Neodiprion lecontei: one gene and its partner. The protein of the gene in region 1 purifies or fractionates together with the protein of each later gene. This does not show direct contact. Links are inferred from orthologs where the notes say so. Each region holds a gene or a part of one and is shown on either strand. Other genes may lie near its edges. The genes, in order: RCC1-like G exchanging factor-like protein and mitochondrial mRNA pseudouridine synthase Trub2.

Region 1 (14,239 bases):
TACGGAATTTTTACGCTATTCGAAGATAACATTGTATCGAGTATTTGATGGAGAAACATTTGCGCCAGAGTTTTCAAACATTTGTTGTATTTACAGAGTTATCGCAAGTTTTAATCACGAGGGAACCTTTTCTCAGTGCATAAGCATGGCTTTTTTCGGTTCATACGATAACTTTTAGCTAAGAATTTCATTACAGTACTGAAGTTAAATTAAAAAAAAAAAAAAAATCGTCGTCATTCAGTTGTAAACGCGATATTGTTGGATGAAGATAAATTTCAGGGTAATATTTATTTTTCTATCTCCAAGCTGTAACGATTTGGCTACATTCTCTGAACAGAATAGGAGGACAAATATTTTGCATTTCAGTGCAATCAGCTTTCCAATATCAAAAACTTACTTACTCTTTAATACTTGACATAATAATTAAATGGCTACTACAGCGATAAACATTAAATTTTAGATTTTCGTAAGATAATTAATCTCATGATGAGATAGGATACATAAAACTTGAAACTATACTTGGGCTGCCGGATTCTGATCATTTCTCAAGTGGAAAACTAAATTCGGATTTTGAGAATCTAGCAAATCCATTACACAACTAATATAGCCTAGTGGGAATTTGAGCAAAGAAGTTCCTTTGAACAAAAAGTTGGAATAAATTCATAAATATTGTAAATATTCTTACAAAAGTAATCGTATTCCCCGGTGAGCAGCGACATGGCACATTTTCAGAGCCTTGTATAAAACCATGTGATCATTTCTCCAAGAATTATTCATTTAAAAATAGAATCATCAAAGTAAACGTCTGTAACTTGTGTATGGTCGATCAATTGATTTGAAGTTGAATTAATGTCACATTCAAGTTCAACTGTTCAAAACGAATTCAAAGTCCTCAAAATATTATAATTATGGTATCTTGCAGAAATGCGATCAACACTTTGGTTCTGAAAAATGAGAGCAAACATGAATTACAGATCCGTGAATTCTCCCTCAATTGCTTGCAATCTAATCTGATTACGCAAAGGAGTCAGTATTTGTGAAACCAGGTGAAAGATTTTTTTTTGATATTGAAAATGGCGCGTCATAGGAATCAATTACAAATATTACATCATCATCAATTTTACTGAATTTAAGTTTAGAAACTAACATTTCCAAACTGCATCACATTTTCAATTCACAATTATTGATCTGTGTCGTCCCGGTTTTATAGTTTTCAAACCCAGTTATTTGATGAAATTTGAGTTTTCGAAGAAAATGAAATAATAATATCAGTATGTAAACTTTGACATTTGCATTGGTTTGCTGAAGGAAAGTTTGATCAATTTATTTGAACTTGAAATTTTTATTTTTTTTTCATTTTACCTATATTTCACTAAGAAAGTAGATTCTTGATAAAAAAAAAGCAAATAATCGCGTAGTATTCGTACTAATAATACATTTCAGATTGCACCCAATTTTTATTTTTTTTTTCCATTGCATAGTACTTAATGAGATGTACTTAGTGAAATGAGAGTGTTAACGTACAAATTAGTTAATAAAAACAGGAAGAAGATTAAAAAAGGAACAGTTTCTTTGCCCTTATTTTGTCTTTTATTTATTTCTGTAACAAAATACTGACTAGAAAAAGTTCAGTTTAATGGGCTAATGAAGTATCCTTATTTACGAATCAGGGCTGCACAATAAAACAATTAATCATACATTTTTTTGAAATTAGTCGATTGATTGACTCTTTTCATTGATTGTTTTTCTGAATAATCGATTGTTTGGCATTCTCAATTAATCATTTTCCCTATTAATGGATTCATTAGAAACATCATTTAGAGTTTTCCCGATTAATCAAGTAATCAACCCTTTCAATTAATCGATTTTCGATTAATCGGCCATTTGTTTATTGAAATTGATCTTTTCTTTTTTTGGATTAATCGACGAATTAGATAAAAAATGAGTTCAAATCTGCGGTTAATCGATTAATCGCGAAGCTCTAGTACGAGTTAAGTCTGTATTAGCTCTCCGGAAATAATGAATTATTTCCTTCTTTTAAATAGACATTACTTTTTACAATCCTACAATTGGCAAATACCGGTATCATTATCGAGGTTCAACTCTTAATATTCATACACACCTTGTGACAATACGTAAAAATATATTTTGTTCGTTAGGAAAACACTGCTTTATATATAAGGTTTACATAATGTGACTGTATGATCGACGCCGCAAGAAACTTTTTTTACTTGAGCACCTACTGCTACCTAGAATATAATATATATAATTCATGTGACAGCAAATAATAAAGAATGTCATGAAATGTATGACACTGTTTGACATATACTTACTTTCAATGGAAAGAACTGATCCTCGATATTCCCAAGTCCTAAAGATCCAAATTTGTTGCATCCCCACATATAAAGGTCTCCATTATCAGTCACTGCCGCCAGTTGACTTATACCGCAGTATATTTGAGAAACCTGTGACAAGGTAGAAAATTTTTTTTCTATCATTGCTGACTATTATATTTCTTTAATCGAATAATTCAGTAGTAAATTTTGTATGAAACATCGAATTTCAATTTCGCACAGTCATCACTGGTTGAAAAAAATAATTTCAGATTTTGGTAAAGAAGCTAAACTATCCAAAAACACTGTCTTCAAACTTGAAGTAAATCGGTCGGACCGGTTTTGAAATATCGTGGGCCCCGCAAAACATGTCACTTAGCTAAATGGTTGACGTTATTGTCACTAACAATGCTTCCAATTATGTCTATAGTAAAAAAAAAAAATATGTAGCTGAAGTTCGATCTACACACGTTTCGATAAAACAAACTCCGATCGAAATGAGTGGTTGGTTTTCAAGATATCAATTCCCAAAATTCACCCATTTCTTTAGCCGTCTACTCATCTATAATCCATTGATTTCGATGAAGTCTAGATGACACTGAATTTCAATTGTGGTCAATCCAAAAGTGTATTAAAAACATAATAGCAAACTATCATTGCTTAAGAATAGAATTTCATGAATGAATTTTGTGAACTGGGGGAATTTTAGGCAAATTTCTACTGACCCGATTATTACGGCTATACGCGTTAAAACCAAACAGAGTAGCCGGAATCATTGTAGGTTCTTTTGCTCTTTGTACAGCAGGACCAACTCCAAGAATTCCATATCCCCATACAAAAACGTTGCCATCACCTAGGAATTCAGATCAACAAGAAAAATTTATGACAAAAGAGTAAGGAAACATAATCCGCTACTTATTACAGTAAATTGTTTACTCAAAGAGATTTGTCACTTAAAAATCAAGCCTTTGCTTCGAAGGTTCATATGGTCAACACGTTCGTAAGCTATGATGATTTTTCTAGGAATGCAAAATAAAAAACTAGGATAACCATTTTTCATCTCTAATCGCATTAAGATGCTGAAAAATCTGATATATAAATGCCACATCATTTTGCGAACGAGTCATTTTATGTAGAAGGTAATTTTTCAAGTAAAGTCCAACAATTTTTGTTTTACTTATCAAGTTGATATTGTTGAATATACAATTTTCCAAGATTCCAGTGGTATCGATTTTGATCAGGAAATAGCAATACTTAATCAATAATTGAGAATAAGACAAAATTTGTTTCACAGAACTGGCAAGAAACAGTTTTCCAAACAAACCAAGCCACCATGACTTCATGGAGTGAAATTGAACGAGCCTAGTAAATTTTTCCACCATTTTAAAGCTGTTTCCAGTGAGAAATTGATACTTAAACTGCTGTTCATAATTTTAGTCACACTTTTTCAGCAATTTTGGAAGCATCACCGTAGCATCCGAACGTGATAATTTGATAAAAACTGTACGTGAGCTGATCTCGTAGTAAAATTAGTAAAAAAAGCATTGATTTTTAACCGAAGGTATTTGATCGATTGATTATATATTCTTACTGTTTAAAACCATGCAAAAGCTTCCGCCTGCAGCAATGTCTACAACATGTCCCAGGGAGCGACACTCTTGGATTTCTGTTGCAATGTTTATTTGGTGATTATCAACCAAAGATGGCAACTGTCCATATTCCGAATTACCCCATCCGAATACTGTGCCTTTATCTACCAAAATTATATTAGAATGTTAAAGCTGCTGAAGTAGGGGAAAGTTAACTGAATTATATACAGAATTTCGCAAGCAGATTAGACGTCCAGGTCTTTCAAGATTTTCCCCAGTATTCTTTTAGTATGGGAAGTCTCTTCAAACAAATTTATGTAGAATATCACATCAATATATGACGTCTGCGATTTGTTTAATTGGTTAAGCAATGATAATAACAAGTAGTTTTTTTTTTATAGCATACCGCTAAGCGCCAAGACACAGTCTGCCATACAGGCAACTTTGACAATATTTTCACCAGCCAAGTCTCCTTTCACTAAGCTCGGTTTGTACTCATTTCTGTAATGTGCAAGACCAGTTTGGCCATCTGCACCCCATCCAAATGTATAAACTTGGCCTGACTCGCTTAAAAGAATACTGCAGAAAACAAAGAGTAGCTTGTAATTCATTGATTTATAGATTATCAAGTTTTTAACGCTAACACAATGAAAGATTTGGAAAAGGTGCCCCTATTTTGCAATGACTTTGAAGATGTTCAGTTCTTAAAATTTCGAGTATATTTTGCTTCATTACAGTTTACCGAATTTCTGACATTTTCAAGTTTGTGAAATGATTTATAAAAACACTCTCACTGCATCATCATCATGAACTTCAATCTCGTTCGATATTTATGTTAACATTTCTTTATGTCCTAAAAATGGAGCAGGATTCGTTTTTTTTTTTTTTGTTTTTTTTCTAAAGATTTACCAGTTTTATAAAGCTCGTACTGCAAACTCCACACATGGCTAAAAAAACTTCCACTTCTCACCGTTAGTGCAAAATATACCATAATCAAATGAACCACCTTTTTTCATTCAAGAAATGTTTTGCTTTACGAACTTTAAACGTCGAATGAATGATTTAAATTTGAAAAAAAAAAAAAAACATATTGTAAAGTAATAATTGGTTATTTCATGCAAAATATATGAACTAGAATGATACAACATGTCGTTTTGTACTATTTACATTGAAAATGTTATAAAAGATAGTGGTCAACTTTGGTTTATTATCTTTTACCGAATTGAATTTAACGTAAAGTTGCAAAATGAACATTTTCGTTTAGAAATGCATTGTTAGAATAATTCTGTGAACTTTAGCCTCATCTTTCTTGGAGATACAAGACAAACCGAAATTTTATAGAAAATGCTTATTGCAAGTCAAAAAATTTATGGAATGCCCATTGCCGTGTGCAGATCCAAAAAAATGTAGTGATTGCCAACAATGAGTAAATATCAGGTTCAAGTTCATAATGTTAATATAGCCATGTATTTTTAGGAAAAATCGTTAATTTGCAAGTTTAGGATTCTTTAAATTTCGTTAAGTCATACAATGAATATAAAAATACTCTCATACTTTGGAAACTTAATAACACCTTCAGTCACTTTTAATTGAAAAATAGTGATTTTTGTTTCTCAATGTTTCGTTACATTAACGTTACTAACTTCAATCTTATTTATCTTATCTTATCTTCACTGTTGTCTAAGGTAACGAGTATTATTTAAATGAAAATAAGATTATTCATGTACAAATTCATTTGATGAGATGAGAAATAATTTCTCTCGTAATTGTCTCTACAAGTAAGATTATCGTCATTTTAATGTGGTTAATTGAGTAGACAATAATAAAAACGGAAAATTCTTAGTGTGTTGAGAAAAAAGAATTGTTAATTGCAAAAAATATTTTTTTGACGGCAGCGCAATATCTTTTTGTTCAACGGTTATCTGAGATCATTCTGTTAAAACAAATGATCAAAATAACTTATGACAGTGCTGATTGGTAAATGCTATCACGTACCTGTGATCTTGGCCTGCTGTTACAGATTTTATGCGCTCCCCTTTGATGTCTGGTATATGATGAACTATTGTATTGTTTGTGTAATCTTCATCGACAATTATTGGTCGTCCACATTGACCATAACCATTATTTCCAAGTGTAAACAGGCCTTCGGTTGTTAGAACTAACAAATGTGCACGACCAGCAGCAAGTCCAGTTACTTGACTGGACGGATTTTTTAATGGCAGATGTATCGGCTTTGGGAGTGGAACAACATTTTGAGGATCCTTTGCTGCTGCATCATATCCTGAGGAAAGAATTGGATCAAATTTAATCAAAAGTGTGAATCAAATCGAATGAAGACTGCACTGAAGGCACCTTTAAAATCTGTCAATCCTAGCAATATTTGACTAAAATTTAGTCTGATCTTTCCGAAAATGAAATCCATTTTAAGGCTGTTGTCGGGAACTGTTCTTTACACTTTCAGTCCATGTTTGCGAACTCCTAAGAATAAATTTTCTGCATTTTTTTAATGTGAAATGGTAAACATTATAGAGTACATTCTGAGTTGTATAGTGGAATGGAAATGGCATCGTTTATAAAACATAATAAATATTCGAGGGATCATGGATTTCCTAAATATATTCTGTATCCCTGGAATATTTTTAATGATTTAATTATGATGTAATTCTAAAAACTTGAGGATATACTCCAAAATGTCTGAATTTGAATAAAGAAAATAAATAAAAATCCATTTTTGATCCGTCATGTATATACGACTGAAAAGTTGAAAAAACCTATGTTTTTTTGTCACAATTTCAGAAGACCTATCTCAAAAATGATTACATAATCATAAGAATCAAACTTTTTTATGCCAAAAGCACAGTAGGTCGTATTTTTTCTCGACAACAGGCAGTGCTGAAAATTCAAAGACGAAGGTTCAATTTGAAATTGTGGAATTCATTTGTTTTTACCATTTGACTTGAGTCCTACAGCTTTTTCAAATGAAAGGTAAAAGAGAGGTGTGGAATGTTTAAATAAATCCGATTTTCAACTCCTAACCATTGGCTACTACTTGTAGAATCAAGTTACTGTTTATGATAAATGCCATCGAAAATATAACGCAGAATGTAGATTGATAGTTACCCACGTATACAATCAGTTTAATATTTTTGTCCCAAATTTTTATTCATATTGCACAAATGCGTGCACGTGCCATGTTGCAGATATCCCTCTTTTACAGCATCTGGGTTAGAAGTTGTGTACAAAGATGCAACTTCCAATTATACAATATTACGTTATCTGGTCGATATTAAATTTTAACCAACTTATGGAATCTACTAAATGATATATCTAACATTTATTGAATTTATATTTTCATCTTCACGTTCATTTACCCAATTGAGAATCTGTGTTAATTCCATTTCCCCAAAGGATGTTTCCATCTTTCGAGTCAACGGCAAAGACCGTAAACCCATAACCAGATTCGATATCTATCACTCGATGCTGTTCTGCAAATCGAAGTCTGTTCGGTTTGTGATAAAATAAGAACTTCTTGCGCTTCGCGATCGGCGGTTGAAGTCCCAAGGCTCCATGACCAGCAAGGCCCCAAACGTACACCCTGCGGTCGCTACTCTGACTTACTGGATATTGAAATACTGCAATGCAAAATTACAGAAAAATTTTCAGCATTATTTATATTAAGACATTAGATGTCTAAGAAATATTTTTTTTGCTCCCACCTGAAAAACTAGAAACATCCTTTTGTGAAAATAATTTATTATAAGTTGTATGTATCAGATAGGGGCAAAAAAAACTTACTCTCGAAGAAACCACTACAATTTGTGTACTACAAATGGTCCGAATTTTAACATTACGCAGAGTTTATTAGAACAATTAAATGACTGCGATAAAGATATGCTAAAGCGACGTGAAAGAGATTGGAGTGAATTTAGCCTGCATTGTGTAATGGCAAGATTTTCGGGAATTCTCATGTCTTATTTCTGTTTACACAGTACAATACGAAACAACTTGTTAATAACGCAGTCAGTACCAATCACTCTTAGAGGATTGATATCATGTAACGTAAAATTCAGGGTACTTTTTAAGTGTCATCGGTGTTATTTTCGTGAAATCGAAGTAACTCCAGTGGAGTCACTGTATCAGGCAAATACACATCGCCAATGTTGTTATTCATTATGTCACATTTGTTTACGGTAAAAAATCCCTAGAGTGATCGTTACCTGGCAATTCGTTTGGTGGTGGGTTTGGAGATTTTGTATTCGTTGCTGTCAATTTTTGGCGGACTTTTGGAGAAGATAATTTTGAATAATTTCTGACTAGCTTAAACATTATTTAAACTTTTGTAGCAATATTTGAAACGTGCCGTACTAATTATGGCATAGTTGAGTAAGCGACTGTTTTGCACGGTTGTCTGTTGTTTGAGGTTAGAGTTTCATCTGCGGTAACACCGGTAACACTTAATCACGGAGCAGTCGGCAGGAGACGACACTGAAGCACCGTTCGGCTCAAACGTTGGACTAGTTTTGCGGCAACGTAACTTGTATGAGGAATAGTCACGTTGCGATTGAAGCGCCTCTTGCGGGGTAAGCCCGTATAGCGCTCTCCCCCCCCCCCCCCGCCCCGTCCGGTATCTTATAATTCGCCGTTTGCCACCTTTTCTTCAGATTCAAATGTCAGTTGGAAAAGTAATTACTCAGTTTTCATTCACTTCAAATGCGTATTTTACGAATTTACGGAGTATGTTTGTAGCACGGATGTTCACAGGTTACGATCGCCACCCTTCACTTTTTACATTTTCCTATATTTTAGGCATTTTGATTGGTTACCTCTGAACCATGATCCGTGCCGCGGTGCCTAACCTTAGAGCATATAGACATAGAGGATGCATCGACGCTAAAGAAAGGTCCCCGAGCCAGTGAGCGAGAGAGATGTCGTAATGCTACATGCGCTCTCTTTCTACAGCAAGAGCGTACCTATCGTAATTGAGTGCCTCGAGCATTGCGTTGAAATAATCCAGATTATATAAATACATATTATACATTGGTGCCTGGTAGGTCAGGTTATTGAAACAAACAGTCAATAATATCAATGTTTAGCATATTTTTAAATGCAACGATACAATTTATAAATGTGGAATGGGCATTTTCGCCGAAGTCTGATAGAAACGCGACGATTCAACGGCTTGATTTAGTAACAGGTACATTTGGGGACAATAAGACCGTGTAGACGGCTAATTTTTTAAACTTGACAGTTATGTTGGCAACACAGAGAACCCTTGCAGCGCCATTACTACTTCTCTCTCTATACCATTTTACGCTTGCACGAAAGGGTATACTAGACTTCCTCCATAAAATGTGAATTCACCCTAAGGAGATAGCCAATTCGGACGGTCTTGCGCTCAAGGGTGCGTTCCGAAATTAGCTCTCAGCGCTAAAAACTCGGTAGCGCAAAAGAGATAAAAGATTGTTGACGCACTGGGAGTAAATTATCGAAACGCATCCAAGCTGTATGCTGCACGTGAAAAACCAGCGTATATCTGGCAGTCGTTGTCGGACTACGTGATTCTTAGTTAATGAAAGAATGTTGTGGGTGTTTGGAATTTTTTTCGTTTACTCACTTCACATGATTCAGAAGTTGTAATATTGTGCGAGAGATGGTCAACAATAAGTATAGATGAACAATTCAACAATATCCGTTCTTCTGCGTGACTGAACGTCCGGATGAAAACATTGTCACCATCATAACACGCTTGAACATTATTCTTATATCATCCACCACTATCTCATAGTTGAAACTAACCGCATCAAAGCAATTGACAACTTTGCAAAGTCTTATGATTTATTGAATAACATCAATCGTTAGGAAAACTTTGAAAGAATAACATGTCTAAGCGTAAGCTCGAGGATGTACTGAGTGAAGACTGGAAGGATAGTAGGGCGAAAACAGAACCGACCGTCAAGAATTCTTTAGACTCTGATGAGGAGGACGAAGAAGCCAATGAGGATAATTACAATGTCATGAATGAGGATGACTTTGAAGGTGCGCAACATTGCCATTAGTTTACGAATCGCATCCAATAATTCTATTTAGTTTAATAGTTCAATAGACTTTAATGTTAAGGAATATCCTAGAATAGGATTCAAAAATATGATACAAATGATGATAAATTGTGTCTGAATTCCTCTCTATAATATGCGAGATTAAAGTTAGTAACTTTAATGCAATGAAAAGTTAGAAAAAAAAAACAAATATAGCAACTTTGAAACAACTTTGAATGAGTCAAGTTTACAAAACACGAGCTTCACACTGGCGTCGTTAAGGTTTATATAATTTGGAGCAATGCTAATGTTGTAATTCAACAAAGTTTCTTACAAAATGCATCGTCACAATAATGTGATGAACTTCAAATTTGTAATATTTGTTTAGAATCTTTTGATGAATGTTCTGATCAAAGTCTTTCAGCAGGGCCACTTTTCCAGTTTTTCTCTCATATTGTCTATTTCATTCAAATTAAGTAGTAATAATAATTATATACGATTCTTTTCTAAATCTTTGAAATTCGTGTTCACTTGAAATCTTTTATTATAAAGGAACGGAAGACGATCCCGTAGCAGCAGAGACAGATGTAGGCTTCACAGCATTCAATATGAAGGAGGAATTGGAAGAGGGACACTTTGATAAGGATGGTCATTACCTCTGGAACAAGGAAAAGCAGATCAGAGACAATTGGCTTGACAACATTGACTGGGTTCAGGTTGTTAACACTGCTCAAAAATCAAATTCCGCTACTAATGTATTTATTTTGTTAAAAATACTCTATTCTACTCGACTATTATACAATGAGATTTTTACGAAAATATCTTAAGTTGGAAAATTAATACAAGTTTCGAATTCATTAATTTTTTAGAAAATTCGTAATCTTACAACGGAACTTTTGAAACTGTGAACTGTAATAAAGCTAGTTGTACTCGTATTTTGCAATGATTCTAAATTTTTTAATGTTATTAACTTCAATCTTATGCAAAATTTAAGTTTTATGTTTGGCTTTGTTACGGTTCATCAAATTTCAGACAATGTTAATGGTGCGAAATACCGATATCGAAAATAGTGACAAACTATAGCATCATGGAAACTCTTCTTTTTATTTGTGACTGCAAAATCAAAAACTTTATAAGGGAAATAGAAAGCCAAAAATGAAACGGATCTTTCAATTATACTTTCATAGTTCTGTGTGAAACGCATAATCATGGCAATAATAACAACAACTAGTTTGTTAATAATGTAAGCTCTGATAATAATAAAAATAAAAACAATAATGCCTAAATTGGGTTACAGATTAAATCTGGGGGACGCGAAGGTACAAGCAATAAAACAAGTGACAAAATCAAAGGATTGGCGGACAGCGATAGCGAGGATGATGAACAAGAAGTAATGTTTGACAGCGTGCCATTGTACAAAAAAATTCTCGAGTATTTGCGTCCTGGGGAAACTGTATCAAAAGCACTTCGCAGACTAGGTAAAAACTAATTGATCAGCGTTTGATAATATAATTTTTTGCATTCAAGGGTTTATTGAATATTGTTTTGACAAATTTTTTTTAGTGTTTCTAGTAAAATCATTGTGGGATAAAACAAACCCCCCCCCCCCAAATCTCTCCACCCACCTAATAAAATGAATTAAAATGATAAACTAACTCGATGGACAAAAGAGCTTAGCTTTTTTGCAGTAGGTATGACCAGGTGATAGTACTTCCAGCCCTCTACAACTTAGTTTAGTTCGTTAGATGTTTAAAGAGAGAAGACAGTGTAGCGATGGCCACTAAGCTAAATATAATCGATGTATCGATTAATCGAGTCCAAAAAAATAATTGAATAAGGCTCGATGGAATCGGTAAAAATTAATCGATTAATCGATTATCTCGAAGTTTGCTGAAACGGTGTATGTGAAACCAAAATTCCGTAAATTTCAGTATATAGTCTTATAGCTATAATAGCGGAAAAGTTTTTTCAGAACTTATAGTTTCATTAAAAATATTTTTCAATTTAAGGTGAAAATATTCATTTATTTTTCACCTATTATATCAAATAGGTACCTACTAAGTAAGACAATGATAATAATTCATACTTTAATCAGATAAATTAATATCATATTGCATCATTCATGGAAGTAAAAAACAAAAACTGATTGTGAGGATAAATAACTGAGTTGGTCGCTAATCAAGTTTGCGATGATACTTGATAATCGGGATACAACAATCGATTTAATACACAATCAATTATTTTTGGTCATTTTTAAGACGGTGGCAAATTGTCATGCTAGACAAATGTCGGAAGTAGTGAACAATATTGAGGAGGAAAAGGAAACGCATGAAAAAAAATTATTTAAACAAACAAGTAAATTACTTCACAATGTATTATGTCTAAATAAGTAGCAGTAAATTATAATGAATTGAAAGTGAAAAGTCACGTATCAAATTCGAGAAAAATTTGTAGAGAATTCAAAGCTTATGGATTTCTTCGAAGTACGGCCCACCATCGTTTTCTAATCAAAAGTAGAGAAGTATTCAAACAAATTGTGTCGCATCCCCGTCGAATAGTTGGATTTTATTTCCAAATTATAATACAAATTGATTTCACCTATTTTTCGGATTCACAAGATATATACCTGGTTGTTGTCAAAGTTTTGATTCAACACATTTCATGATAACAAATACAGTAGGCATTTCTCGTTATGATTTTACCTAAAAGTTGCTGTTTTGATGCAACTGACAGTTCTTCGTGCAGTATATTCACCTATGATTTTCCATGATATTTAGGCAAAGGAAACAAAAGAATGACCACTGCAGAACGATGGAAAAAGAAAAAAGAAGCACAAGCCGGTATAGAAACTAATGAAAATGCTGAAAAAATAACACAGTTAACAGAGTTTGCAAACGAACTTTTGACACGGACCGGTAACATGGATATATACGAGGAAAGTTATGAACAAATTAAAAAAAAGGTATGCACTGTTTTTATAAGTATCCTCAGTAAGTTTGATTACTTAACATGTAACTGTATTTATTGCATTGAGAAAACACTGCATGTAAGCCATTCTATACCATCTTGACTTTTTAACGTATTACATTCTTTAGCACAAAATAATTATACCATTTGGATCTCTAACTAAAACATTTGCCGTCGCAAAAACCGATGTATTCATCATTTTGACGAATTGCAACAGGGAAACAATATAGAAACCCCTAAAAGTTGACAAAAATTAATTAAAAAGTTAGTATCCTAAATTTCCCAAAAACCATGTTTCTTTTCTACTGAAAATTCCAAAGAACACTCGATTTGGTCTAAGAAAATATGTGTAATTTTCGTCATGGGTTCAGATTTAGTTTGAAAGTTATGAATTTTTTTTTTTCCTTCATAATTATAAAAAGTATTGTATCACGTTATGTTGTCATCAAGTCATACGAAACAGCTCTGAAATATAGGTATTAAATTATTATATTGAACATTTTTATTATATACTATATACGTAATATTTATATTACAATAATCATAATTTATACAGATAATAGTAGTAATAAAAGTAAGTTCAAACTAATTTCAACTCCATGCTGAACTTTGCACTTGTTTATTTACACTACATAGGAGTATCCTTCGAAATTTAAATGGGTGTCAGGTTTCGAGAAATGCAAGAAACTTATGTTCATTTTACCAAGTTTTGTAAACTTGTAGGGTTTTTCATATTTTTTTTGCATGTTATAATTTTCAAATTCATTCAAAACAGCTTGTTATTTTCTTCAGAATTCTGTCGATCGCTGGTCGAATTGGTATGAAATGCTTGATTTGTACAAGACACATGTGTGAAGTTAGACTCGAAATTGTTCTTATCCCCATTGAGTTTTTGGAGTAAAATTCAATACTCATCCTCGCGACGTACGTTTTCGTAATTTATATAATTTTTTGGGACACTGCAGATTGAGACGAGTGGGAAACAGGCTCATCCATCGAAACAGGAAGCGGAATTGGATATGTACTCCGACGATTTTGATGTTAAAGAAAAAGCCAAGCTTGACGAAAATGCAGCTCCTGGTGGTAAGTTCTCATTGAGTTATGTGTAACAGTGCCAATTATTACATTTATTCAATATAAGTAAATATCGAAAATCGATCCTAAACGAGAATATCAAAATGCTAGACATAGATTCAATATTTATAAATTATTTAAAGTAATTCTCAGTTAATTTAATTCGATTGTTTTACAATTACCGTTGAATTAACTGCATTTGCAAGCTCATTTCAATTTGAAGATAGAATAGTGTAATATA
Region 2 (11,316 bases), on another chromosome or scaffold:
ACTGAACTGCATTTTTCTATTTCCAAAAAGTTCAACAAGTTTCGCTGCTAACCCTGGCTGCCAACTTCAGCTATATCATAAAATTGTGGATAAATATCCTACTACCGGTATAAGTATTATCAATTATAGTTCATGTGTGTAAGCAATATGTGTTAGATGTAAACACACGAGTATTTCAAAAGATATCTGCTTCTAACTTCCTGCGTAGCTGAGCATATCAGGCCAAGTAATTAAGATTGTTTAACAAGGTAGCGAATTGAAAGTAGGTCACGAATAAAACTGAATAAATTTTCAGTTTAAAGATAAATTTTAACTCTGCCAACAATTTTTGTGTAAAAATCTTTACCAATTGTCTATTTATGAAAATTCTATAGAGAATTTTGCAGAGAATTTTGCGAATTCTTTAGAGAAATATTAAATTATGTGACTAGATTTTATTGATTTTTATCAGAAACGTTGTTTCGTGGAAGTCTCTCGTTTCTTAGGAATGATGCAAACAATATTTCATGTATTATTACTAGGTTTTAGGAGATAAAATCTGCCATGACAAAAGGTCAAGGTTGAAGTTAGTGTAGTTAATTTGTAGAAAAAATTGTCGCTTCCAAAATTTAGGGTTGTCCAAAACTCAGTGAGCCCCAGTAAAGCAAAACATAATAATATTTTGCAAATTCAATTTCTTCCGAGTCACTCTCTGAAGCTTCAGAATAGTGATTTATTTTTCATGTTTCACTATGTTAATATTTTTAGACTTCAAGTTGTGAGATATGGACTGAATTAGAATGATTTCAAGTAAATACACCCTTATTAAAATGATATATTTATTTAATATACCCTCAGCTGATCCAGCCAGTTTCTGACCTCCAGAAAGGACTGTTCGTTTGTCAAGTCAAACAACAACAAGAATCCCATTGAATCTCGGTAGAAAGCTGTAGTCAGACTTCTAAACCTGGGAAAGTAATTTGAAAAAAGCAGCATAATTAATGAGTGAGTAAAAGTACAGAATTAAATGCACTGACTAACGACGCAAGTAACTTAAATATTGCTATGAACAAGCAACTATTTCAACAAAGTTACAACTTTTGGATGATACGATATAGAGAAACAAATTCTTTGTTTCTTTTTAAAATAAAGACAATAATGTTGTTACTACGATATTGGATTCGGATCAGTACTTAGATTACTAATGAATGTTCATCATTATGTTTGCAAGCTTGCAAATAACACGAAGGCTATAATTACCTTTCTTGCCCAGCTGTGTCCCAGAGTTGTAAATGTATTCTCTGGCTTCTGCCGTTCATTGTTTGATACACCTGCAATAACAATTTCAAGGAATAAATTAATGGCAATCTTTTTGCTGCTGATTAAGATACCAGCTCTCAAGATTAGTATATTCATCGATAACGCGTCATCGAAATGTCAGACGGTTGAAACATCATGGAAAATATGAAATCCACTTCTGATGAATAGATTAATTCGGTAAGAACAATTATAATTAAATTCTTACCAGTTTTTTTTCTCTAAAATCAATCCCAACGGTCGATATAAATCTTGAATTAAATACACCGTCTGTGTACTGATAAAGGAAGCTTGTTTTTCCAACACCAGAATCACCAAGGGCCAAGAATTTAATCAAATAATCATAATCCATCTTTTGGACAGATGGATCAAGTAAGCCAATTGCCGACTTGGATTAGAAAATAATGAGTGAAGATTTAAAAATTAAAATGTATTCAAAAGGCAAGGAAGTACAGCGGACACATGATTAGTGGACTCAGCTGACAATTTTTGTCGGTAAACAGTCTTATTATTTGTACGCGCGAAACTACTCGGAGCTTTTTGATTTAGACACCTGTTGCCGACGCTAAAAACCGATTACGTTCGCTAAAAACAGCGAAATATCATGCGAATGCGGAGCAGAGAAATAAAGAAATTTGGTAGACTGTTCACTGACAGACCGGATTATAATTGGAAGAACTATAAACTACACTACGGTAAAAATACAAATAAAACCGTGTCACCAACTCATCGCACCTCACAGTTGATTGTCAACTGTCAACCAGCTGCTACTTAACTATTAGCAACGAAGATCGACTTCCATAGAAGCGTACGGCTTATCGGCCGTTTGAAGCGAAGCTTTCCGCGACTCGTAAATCCGTATGATGGCTCTACCGTCGGCCGATACACACCGGCACTGTACACATTAGGGTGCTATTTCATGAGCAGTAAATAGCAGCAGCAGCAGCAATTTTCCCCTATCACTTCCGGCGCAAGTTTCTGCTGCTCGCAGTTCAGTTTTTCGAGCGACAAGCCACAAGATCACAAAAAGCCACGACCTATTTCTTGAGCAGCGCTGCTGCTGCGTAAAATTACCAGACTGATGCTAGTGAAAACTAGTAAGTTACTAAACCACTGCTGCTTTTTACTGCTCATGAAATAGCACCCTTAGTGTAGAGTACTGTACGTGAGCCACACGCATGGTACGCAATAGTAAAAACATAGTGGCAACTAGATCTTATGCGTTTTGATTAGTTGCCGCTAATTGCGCTGCACACCGCCGCGCACATGTAAACCCACCCTAAAGGTGGATTTTCATGGTCGTCAAATTGTCGCCACACTTATGCCTGGTCTACTCATACGCTTTAAGTGAGGGTCTTCAAGTGCGCCTCCATTAAAGCTGATGTGTAGCTGAGTTTATATGAACTTTAAGCGCCTCCCACTTAAAGATTTTCTGAATCCCACTTTAAGCTTAATTTTCAGCGAGAAGTAGTGCCAACCGTACCGACATGATGGATATATCGAAATCTCGTGTGATTTGAACTCGTTCTTTGTTCTTTGTGCTTCGTTCTTTTTTTCGGTCGGCATTTTGCCGTAACCAAGTTTGGTACATATTTATTACTCAAACAATTATTGATATGAAAATATAATCCATGTTGAAGTATCACCAGGGTTTGCAACAAACAAAATGCGGTTTGAATTACAGATGAGAGATTTGTTGATTATAAGCTATTCAAAAAACGGAAAATAAAAGATAGATAGGTTATTATTAATTAATGAATAAAATTACGGAGAACATTGCATTACATTGCTTCATATATTGTATCACTGAGGTTATAAACACTAACTGACAGTTCTTAATTAAGTTCTTCTCGTTACTCCGTTTGATGGCTACAAGGCTTTTTAACCTTCAAGTGCCACACAGTTCTCATTTTAAACCCAACACCGTTGCAGGCTACCCAACTCAAAATAATTTTTGTCATTAAAGTACTGTGTGTAGCTGAGTACTAAGTCCATGCTGAGTACACACTTTATCCCAAACAGACTTGAACGTACTGACTTTAAAACCCCCACTCAAAGTGCATGTGTAGACCAAGCATTTTAGATCATATACCAAATTAACGCGGCAGCGCTACATCGTCGGCGGCAAAAAAATACTGATGATAATAGGTATCGACGCAACGGCGAAATGCCGCAAGTCTAACAACCATACGTGAGCTACGTGGTTAAGGCAGTAATTCTCAGTTGCATTAACGTTTTTTGAATCATGAGGATGAATGAGATTATATTTTCTTACATATCGAACAACTACTTATAAAGCTTATAGACCAGTTTTACGAAATACACTGCAAGCAACGTATTAAGAGATCCAGCCGAAAAATGAAAGATTTCGTTTGCAATTCCGCTGCTGTTGGTCCTACGATCTTTTTAATGTCCTTTTCGCATTTCTGAGAGTTCGATCAGTGCCAATAAGGTCCTGAAAAACGGTTCTAAGACCAGAATTTCTGAGCTCTAAAAATCAAAAAAATACCAGTCCGACACTGCCAATCAGCAATCCTAAATTTTTACATTCTTCGATTAAGAATGTAATTGATATCCATTGGCTTAACCACGTGAGTTTTGACGCGCGGCATTTTGCCGTTGCGTCGGCACCCACTTCCATGAATGACATTTCCCGATGACGTCTTTGCGCTGTCGCGTCAATTTGACGCTCGTGAAAATTCAGCTTAAAACTATTCATCAGTGTTGCCAATATAAATACAAATCCTGTTTCGAAACGAACGACATAACCTAAAATCTAATTTGTTTGAACCTACATCGTGGTTTGAACTTTAAAGTTCGAAATGAGCTTCCTTACTAGAAGCAAATAGTGACAACTGATTCTAATGCAAAAATGGGAGTCACGTCTGACGCCAGGGTGGTTTGGCAGTTTTTAAATGGCATAGCTGCAATTTATAAACCCGCTGGTTACAGTTTGCACAGAACCAGAAACACGATACTGACGCACTTGTGCAGAGGTTAGAATTGCAAAAAATTTTCCAGCACTAGTATTAAGTCGAACAACTTAATCGCTGATGCAATCAACTCACTTCGTAATCCCTGTCGAGCGTATGTTCTTTTAATATCAGTGCTAATGTACCGTGTATTTCCAATTAGATTTGAACGCGTTAGAAGGCCGACCACAGCGGGAGTATGTCAGGATCGAAGGAGAAACTGATAAACCAATGACTGTTCAGGTCGTTCCAAATTTGGCTGATCATTTATTGTTAACCGGTCCTCATTATCAGCAAAAAGATTTTAAGCTATCGTGGGTCAATTACCTTGGTTACGATACATCTGGTGTTGTGATTATTGGAATCAATGAAGGTGCTAGAACAGTTATGCGCATGAGGGAATCAAACCCAACAAGGTTCTACAAAGTTAAAGGGGTATTCGGACAAGCAACTGACAATTATTTCACATCGGGAAAAATTGTGGAGAAGGCTACCTATAAGTCTATCAAACGAGCCACTGTGGACGCAATCTGTGCGTCGATGCAGGCATCACATCAACGGAAGATGTTTGAGTAATTGTCATTTTGAAAATTTAATAATTTGCATTTTTTCTTGTTTTATGAAATTCGCTTATTTCATGTTTTTGATAAAAGTATTGATTCTTTCATACTGCACTTTATTTATATGTATATCTTAAATGAAAAACTAGTTTTACAATTATGAATCCAGCAGACAAGAGATCAGCGGACACAAAATGTTTCAAAACCTATGATTTTGACTATGAAGTCGAGGCTAGGTACCCATGTTACAGAAATGGTCTCAAGAACTCGCAATTATTAGAATCTAGCTTCATGTTTGATAAGATTTTGAAAAAGTTCTGTGAATTTGGAGCTGTTAATTGAACTTACGCAATATAAGGAACTTTGCAGTATTAATATTGTAAAACAGAGTTCAATCCTTCTTTTCCAGGTATTGAATTCGAGTTTCATGTACTATTTATTGCAAACGTCTATTATGTAGTGTCTGTTTCTCTGTCTATGCTAGATGTATTATTTCTTCACTTCTTGTTCAACTTTTTAAGTCCACTTGTTAGCTTATCAACCTTTAAACTCAAATGGAGTTTACTCGAATTTACCAACTAGCCGGAACGTCAACATAATCTTAAATTTTTTTACAGACTATGTGGCGTAGATATGCAGTCTCAGGCTGCTTATGAGTTGGCAATTCAAGGCCCGATCAGACCAGCAAATAACAAAATTCCTATGATTTATGCCATAAAATGTGTTGCCTTTAACATGCCAGAATTTACTCTAGGTACGATTACTGGTAACGATAATGAAACATGTATGTATTATACCGAACTCAGTTTTCTCTGTCATAAACTTATATTTGGTGTATTACTTTTTCAGAAATAGCATGCATCAACGAGTACGAGATGTATCTTAAGACTTTGGTTCACCAACTAGGAATTCAACTACACAGTGTCGCTACTTGTACACAAATACAATGTTTCAGGTACGGTTTGTTTACAACTGAACTTGCACTCCTCAAAAAACATTGGGATGTTCAAAGTATACTTGATAATATGGAACAGACTCAGGCTATTCTTGATAACAACAAATATTTAGTGGAACAAGATAGTCCTACATTGATAGAACAACAGATATAGATTGCTGTACAAAGGCTGAATTATTCTCGGGTCAGAATATATTCGTCACTATTTTCCTGAATCATTTCACTTTGGGGGATAATTCATTTTACTAAAGTGCATTGATATGATTTCAATAAATACCCACTTATTAAATCCTCTGGAGCAAATGATCTGTCTATGTAATTATGTGTAAATATTTTAATCCATTAAACCAATAGTTCATATACCCTCGAATTATAGGTTTTCTATTTATTCCATATTTCATCATCTATTCATAATAACGAGACTTATGGTAAGTATTAAAATTAAGAAATAATTCAATTGCCAAATATGTAGTAGCCCAATGTAAAATTTATTTTCAGGTAACTCAACTATAAGCACTAAAATTATATATTTCAGATAACAATAAGATGGATTTTAGTTTGCACCATTCTTTACATGAAATATTCGGGAATTATATAAATATGCTTAAATTAGCGTCTCAAAAAAACATCACATTCTACATGTCTCCTGAAATTTACATATATACACAATAATAATGTAACACGTGAGTAAAACATAATCCAGTTATCACTTACAACCATCCAATATAGTTTACTCGACAATGTAAAACAACTCTTCATCTGTTACTTTAGTTGAAAGATTTTCCAATCACAGAGCCTCTTTTATCACATTGAAAATTATATTTATCAGCTTTTTCTCCTACTCACTACTTCAGGATCATCCACGTTACATGGACTTCTTTTCAATCTGAGGCGAGAAATTACTACTTCTGTACTGTTCCGGTACACTTCCTTCTTCGCTGCTGCTTCTGCAATCGTCGAAAGATCGTTTTCTCTTTCTACCGTTTTCGTAAAAACGCTGACTATGTCTAGAATCGTAATCTCGGATTTTCCTGTTTGTTTTATTTTCATAATTACTCTCTGCGTTTATTTTTTTCCTCTCACGCTCAAAGTTACTTTGCCTTTGAACATTTATATCTTCGTAAACGCAACTTTTCGCGCAGGTATTCCGCTTTTTCTCTGTATCATCCTGCCTTTCGTACCTTCCTCTATTTCGATTATCGCCTTTCATAGCTTGCGCTTCGGTTCTTCGCTCTGTTTCATCGTGCTCGTACATTCCATCATTCGTACATACCGATTGATTGTTCTGCTTATAGCTGCTCTGTCCATCGTCGTCTTTTCCACGACGTAACAGGGTTGAACTTTTATCACGGCTTTCGATTCTGTCCTCAACATTGGTAACTGTAAAATCATCCCTGACTCTATATCCAGATCCTGATCCACTTGCTTGACAATTCCCTCGACTATCTACGCTTGAACACCTGTCATATTCCTTATATCTGTGGTTCGAGTCAGTTGGAAGACTATGAATCTTCTCCTTATTTGTAGCATCATTATTTTTTTCGTATTCAGTATTTCTTCTGTAATCGTTACTCTTACTAATAGATCTTTCCTTGGTACGACGATCTTGATCATTATTATAGACATCAGATTTATCAACATTTTTCAGTGACTCCTTATGCCTTCGATCTGAACTATCATATCGATCTCTTGATCGTCTGTCTGAATTTTCACGCTCCCTACTTCGACTTCGTCTCTTTTGTTTGAAACTTGAATCTGAATCGTCTGATCTGTCGTTACATCGAATGGTCTTTGCCCGAAGCATCTGTCGATTGGGCCACTGCTGTTTTTTCATACTCTTTGCAATAACCCGTTTTTGATGATCCAATTGAGGGAATAGATCTACGGAAACAATTGAAACAATACATTAATATGATACATACCCATATCAAAATAACATAACTATTGGTCACTGGAACAGTTTTTGAAATTTCCATGTTCAAATCAAATTTACCTTGAGATTTTTCAAGCGCTTCTTTAGCGGAGTTCATCTCTGCTTCTTGAATGCTGTGGCCAGAAGCTTTGGCCAAACGTTTACCTTGAAAATACACAGCGACTGTGTAAATTCGCGTGTTAGTCGGACCTTTGCATTCGATTACTCTGAAAGTAAGAATAAATGATGAAATTAGTACGATTTCTTCCCCTGATTCGATGAGAAAGATTTGATTTGCGATGCCTACTTGTAAACAGGTATATCTGGCTCTCCACCATCCATAGTCCTCAGAGTTAAGCAACATTGCTGCAGTTTACTTTTTGGATCGTTCCAATCCTGATTCATGATGAAATCTTGAAGACGAGGGAAGAAGCACACGTCGCAAAAGACGTGGCAAAACTCCAAACCTTTGTCAACGTACAAAGCGCCCAAAAAAGCCTCTAGCAAATCAGCTCTATCTTTCGTCTTTAGCTCCGCTTTAGGGTTTCCATAAAGGGCGTATTGAGTCATACCCAAATCATCGCAAACTACTGCTTGGGTTTTGTTGTTGACCAAAGAACTTCGTAGAAGCTGTAATTGTAAATTATTAGCATATACTTGCATTAAACTTACAATTAGTTTGTCTTCGCTCAAAACCGAGCTTCTTTCGTTAACTTAATAAAGAATAAAAACGCTAAGTAATCAATATTTCATGCTTCATTAAAACACAAAAACTGTATGATAACGTACAACCTACAGAACAATCACACTGATTTATAACACATTATTTGAAATTGAAGTAACTCTTTTTAGGAAATTACTTACCGAAAGATGTCCTTCGTGATGTTCAGGGAAAAATTTGTACAAATATTCAGAAACTATGAGCTGCAGAACAGTGTCACCTAGGAATTCCAAACGTTGATTAGATCCTAGCGTCAAATTAGTATACCCAATGCTTCGATCTGTGAATGCTCGTGCGAGTAATCGAATATGTTGAAAATCAATGCCAATTGATTCTTCAAACTTGGTTAACTTCTAAAGAAACAAGACAAACAATAACGTTGATTAATTTTTTGTCGATGAGCAGTAATAAATTGATAATAAACCACCGTTTACACCTTGCATTAATAAAATTGAAAATGTACCCCTACAGAAAATATTTTAGCAATTCACATACTTGCAGTAATTCAAAGCTGGGTATCCATTGTCTATCGCCGGTGGGTTCCTGCTCTTGCAGAGGATGGCGGGGATAATTGATCCAGACTTTAGAGAGATCACATTCTCCCATGAACATTGTCTCAGCAAATACTTTGTCAGCAACTTCTATTCCTCCGTCAAGGAACAGAGACCCCATCAGAGCTTCAAAGCAATTGGCCATAGCATGTCGGAGCTCCAAGTCATGGCACAAATCGCTGCCGTGAGCATAAAGCATGTACTGCTCTAAATTCAACTTCTTAGCCAAGACAGCCAAGTGTTGATTTTGAACAATGGCTGCTCTGTATGTTGCTAATCCTCCTTCTTCTAAGTCCGGAAACATGTGGAAAAGATGTATGGACGTTAAAAATTCAACAACTGCGTCACCAAGGAATTCTAATCTCTCGTTGTGAGCGATAGAAGATTCGGTTTCTCTTCTAGCCCCAAACCTTGACATTATGTTTATCAAAGTATTTATTCCTCGCTTTCTCGTATTCATGTAATGAATTCTTCTGTCACCGTACTCTGGTTGCCTTATACCACAATTTGTTAATGAATTTCTTGCGTGATCTGGATTTGTACCAAAATTTTCTCTATAACTTGGATGCGTTAATGCCAATTGAAGCAAATATCTGTTTTTAAATTTGTAGCCAATAGTTTTTTCCAGAATATCTAAAGATTTGTGGAATCTCAAATGACATACTAGTACAGGAATCAACATTGCATGTTGTACTATGTCGCACATAATTCCTGTACGATGAAATCCTTCTGAACTAACGTCTACAGTTACGTCCCTCTTCATTTTACTCTGCGTTCTCAGTTCTTGCAGTTTATTCTCCTTGGCCTCCAATTTTCTCTTGTCTTCAAACGATGGCTTTGGCATGTTTGCCAGCAAATGTCGAAATTTAACGTAATCCCTCCAGGCTTTTTGATAGCTGAAATTATACGAAATACATTTACTTTTTGTACAGAATAGATGAGAAAAAATAGTACAAATTTCGCTAGTTTTATCCGTCAATGCAAACAATCAACTGGATATTTATTCAAAAATCAATACTCACTCTGCGTTACCAGCATAGCTCAGCTGTGGTGGCCTGATACCGAAATGAACGATTTCAGGATACGAAATGACACCCGGAGGTTGATCGTCTTGACTTCTATCTAATTGATCAACTCTGACGCTGCAAGGTTTTTTACCGGGATAAGTCACCACCATACCTTTCACTTCGTCGGCGAAATTCTGCCACTTATATTGAGGCATATCGACAAGCCTGCTCAGATCGTCGGCGTCAATTAATGGCTTACTGCTTTTGATTAAGTAATTAAGAACTTCATTCATAGACAATATTTCCTGCCCATTGTCCGGCAAATCTCTGACAAATCTGGGCATAAAATGAAATTGATCACAACCGGCTGTATCTTGAGCAGCACGTAGATCAAAATCTACCAATTCCAGTATCTGCTGGAACAGGTAATCCTCTAAAAAATATAAAATGATTAGAAAAATAACTACGCCCGTATATTCCAGTCGAATTACGTGAAATTGACAACTCTTTGAAATTATTAAGCAATTGCCACACTTACGAAATAAATCCAGTTCTCTGATGGTAAAATTTTCTGGCAATTTCTCATCAATGTATAGAATTGTGTATTCGATATTGAAGCGGATAACTTTACAGGTTGGTAATTTGACAAGAGGGAAATGAGAGAGCATTGAAAATCCCTCAAATATAAATTCGTGTTCGTCGTGTTTGATAATGGTTGGAGTCTTGGTTAAAAAATTTGTTGGCGGACTGATAGTTATGCGGTAATGGTACAATTTATCTGCATTGTTCGAATTCAATTCACACTTTTTAATGACACCCTCGCCAGCATAAATACCATGCCGAATACCGGATCTTCTCGATTTGGCACTGCATCTACAAAGAGGGCCGTCATTCATCTGAAACAGTAATTTAAATATAATCACTTGTAAAATTTATTACAATCAGACCAAAGTGAACAATGGGACTGAATATTTTAATTAAAGAAAAAAATCGAGTGTTTTTAAAATCATCAATAATTATGAACTTATCTTTAAGTATTAATAGACATTACTTGCTGTTGGCCACCTTGTATGAACTGTAATTTTAAATTCTCTTGTTCGGGATTATTAAAGATAAGTTAAAAATACTACCTCCCCAGGGTCATTGAACCACATTTCTGGATGCAGACGTTGTGGATGCTGTTTTTTTGCCATTAATTCTTCCATTGTTCGGTCATCTTCATCCATTGAAGTGTCGCTGTCTGATGACGAACTACTACAAGCTTCAGTTTTATGCCTGCACAATCTGGCTCTGTTTTTTCTTGGTGGTGGCTCATATGGTGGCTGTAGAATACGAAACCATC

Evidence for each region.
Region 2: the proteins of RCC1-like G exchanging factor-like protein (region 1) and mitochondrial mRNA pseudouridine synthase Trub2 purify together in Homo sapiens (affinity purification with mass spectrometry; 3 studies listed by BioGRID and IntAct, with this or other methods). This does not show direct contact. The link is inferred for Neodiprion lecontei from reciprocal best matches to the Homo sapiens genes RCC1L and TRUB2.

The regions. Positions count from the first base shown.
Region 1 is NC_060264.1:18,406,989-18,421,227, reverse strand, and holds RCC1-like G exchanging factor-like protein, read right to left. Parts: upstream 8,440-14,239; 5' UTR 8,249-8,439; coding exon 8,140-8,248; intron 7,555-8,139; coding exon 7,294-7,554; intron 6,204-7,293; coding exon 5,918-6,203; intron 4,502-5,917; coding exon 4,329-4,501; intron 4,087-4,328; coding exon 3,925-4,086; intron 3,187-3,924; coding exon 3,059-3,186; intron 2,466-3,058; coding exon 2,334-2,465; intron 2,325-2,333; exon of another isoform or gene 2,250-2,324; coding exon 2,172-2,249; 3' UTR 1,717-2,171; downstream 1-1,716. Other genes in the region: CD2 antigen cytoplasmic tail-binding protein 2 homolog, read left to right, coding at 9,802-9,958, 10,510-10,673, 11,255-11,435, 12,735-12,919, 13,890-14,007. UniProt on the Homo sapiens protein: Guanine nucleotide exchange factor (GEF) for mitochondrial dynamin-related GTPase OPA1. Activates OPA1, by exchanging bound GDP for free GTP, and drives OPA1 and MFN1-dependent mitochondrial fusion. Plays an essential role in mitochondrial ribosome biogenesis.
Region 2 is NC_060263.1:8,286,289-8,297,604, reverse strand, and holds mitochondrial mRNA pseudouridine synthase Trub2, read left to right. Parts: upstream 1-4,055; 5' UTR 4,056-4,168; coding exon 4,169-4,292; intron 4,293-4,431; coding exon 4,432-4,840; intron 4,841-5,445; coding exon 5,446-5,582; intron 5,583-5,677; coding exon 5,678-5,937; 3' UTR 5,938-6,392; downstream 6,393-11,316. Other genes in the region: ras-related protein Rab-27A, read right to left, coding at 832-946, 1,240-1,310, 1,505-1,648; ribonuclease 3, read right to left, coding at 6,649-7,664, 7,777-7,922, 8,003-8,325, 8,560-8,769, 8,912-9,863, 9,990-10,407, 10,513-10,870, 11,105-11,296. UniProt on the Homo sapiens protein: Minor enzyme contributing to the isomerization of uridine to pseudouridine (pseudouridylation) of specific mitochondrial mRNAs (mt-mRNAs) such as COXI and COXIII mt-mRNAs.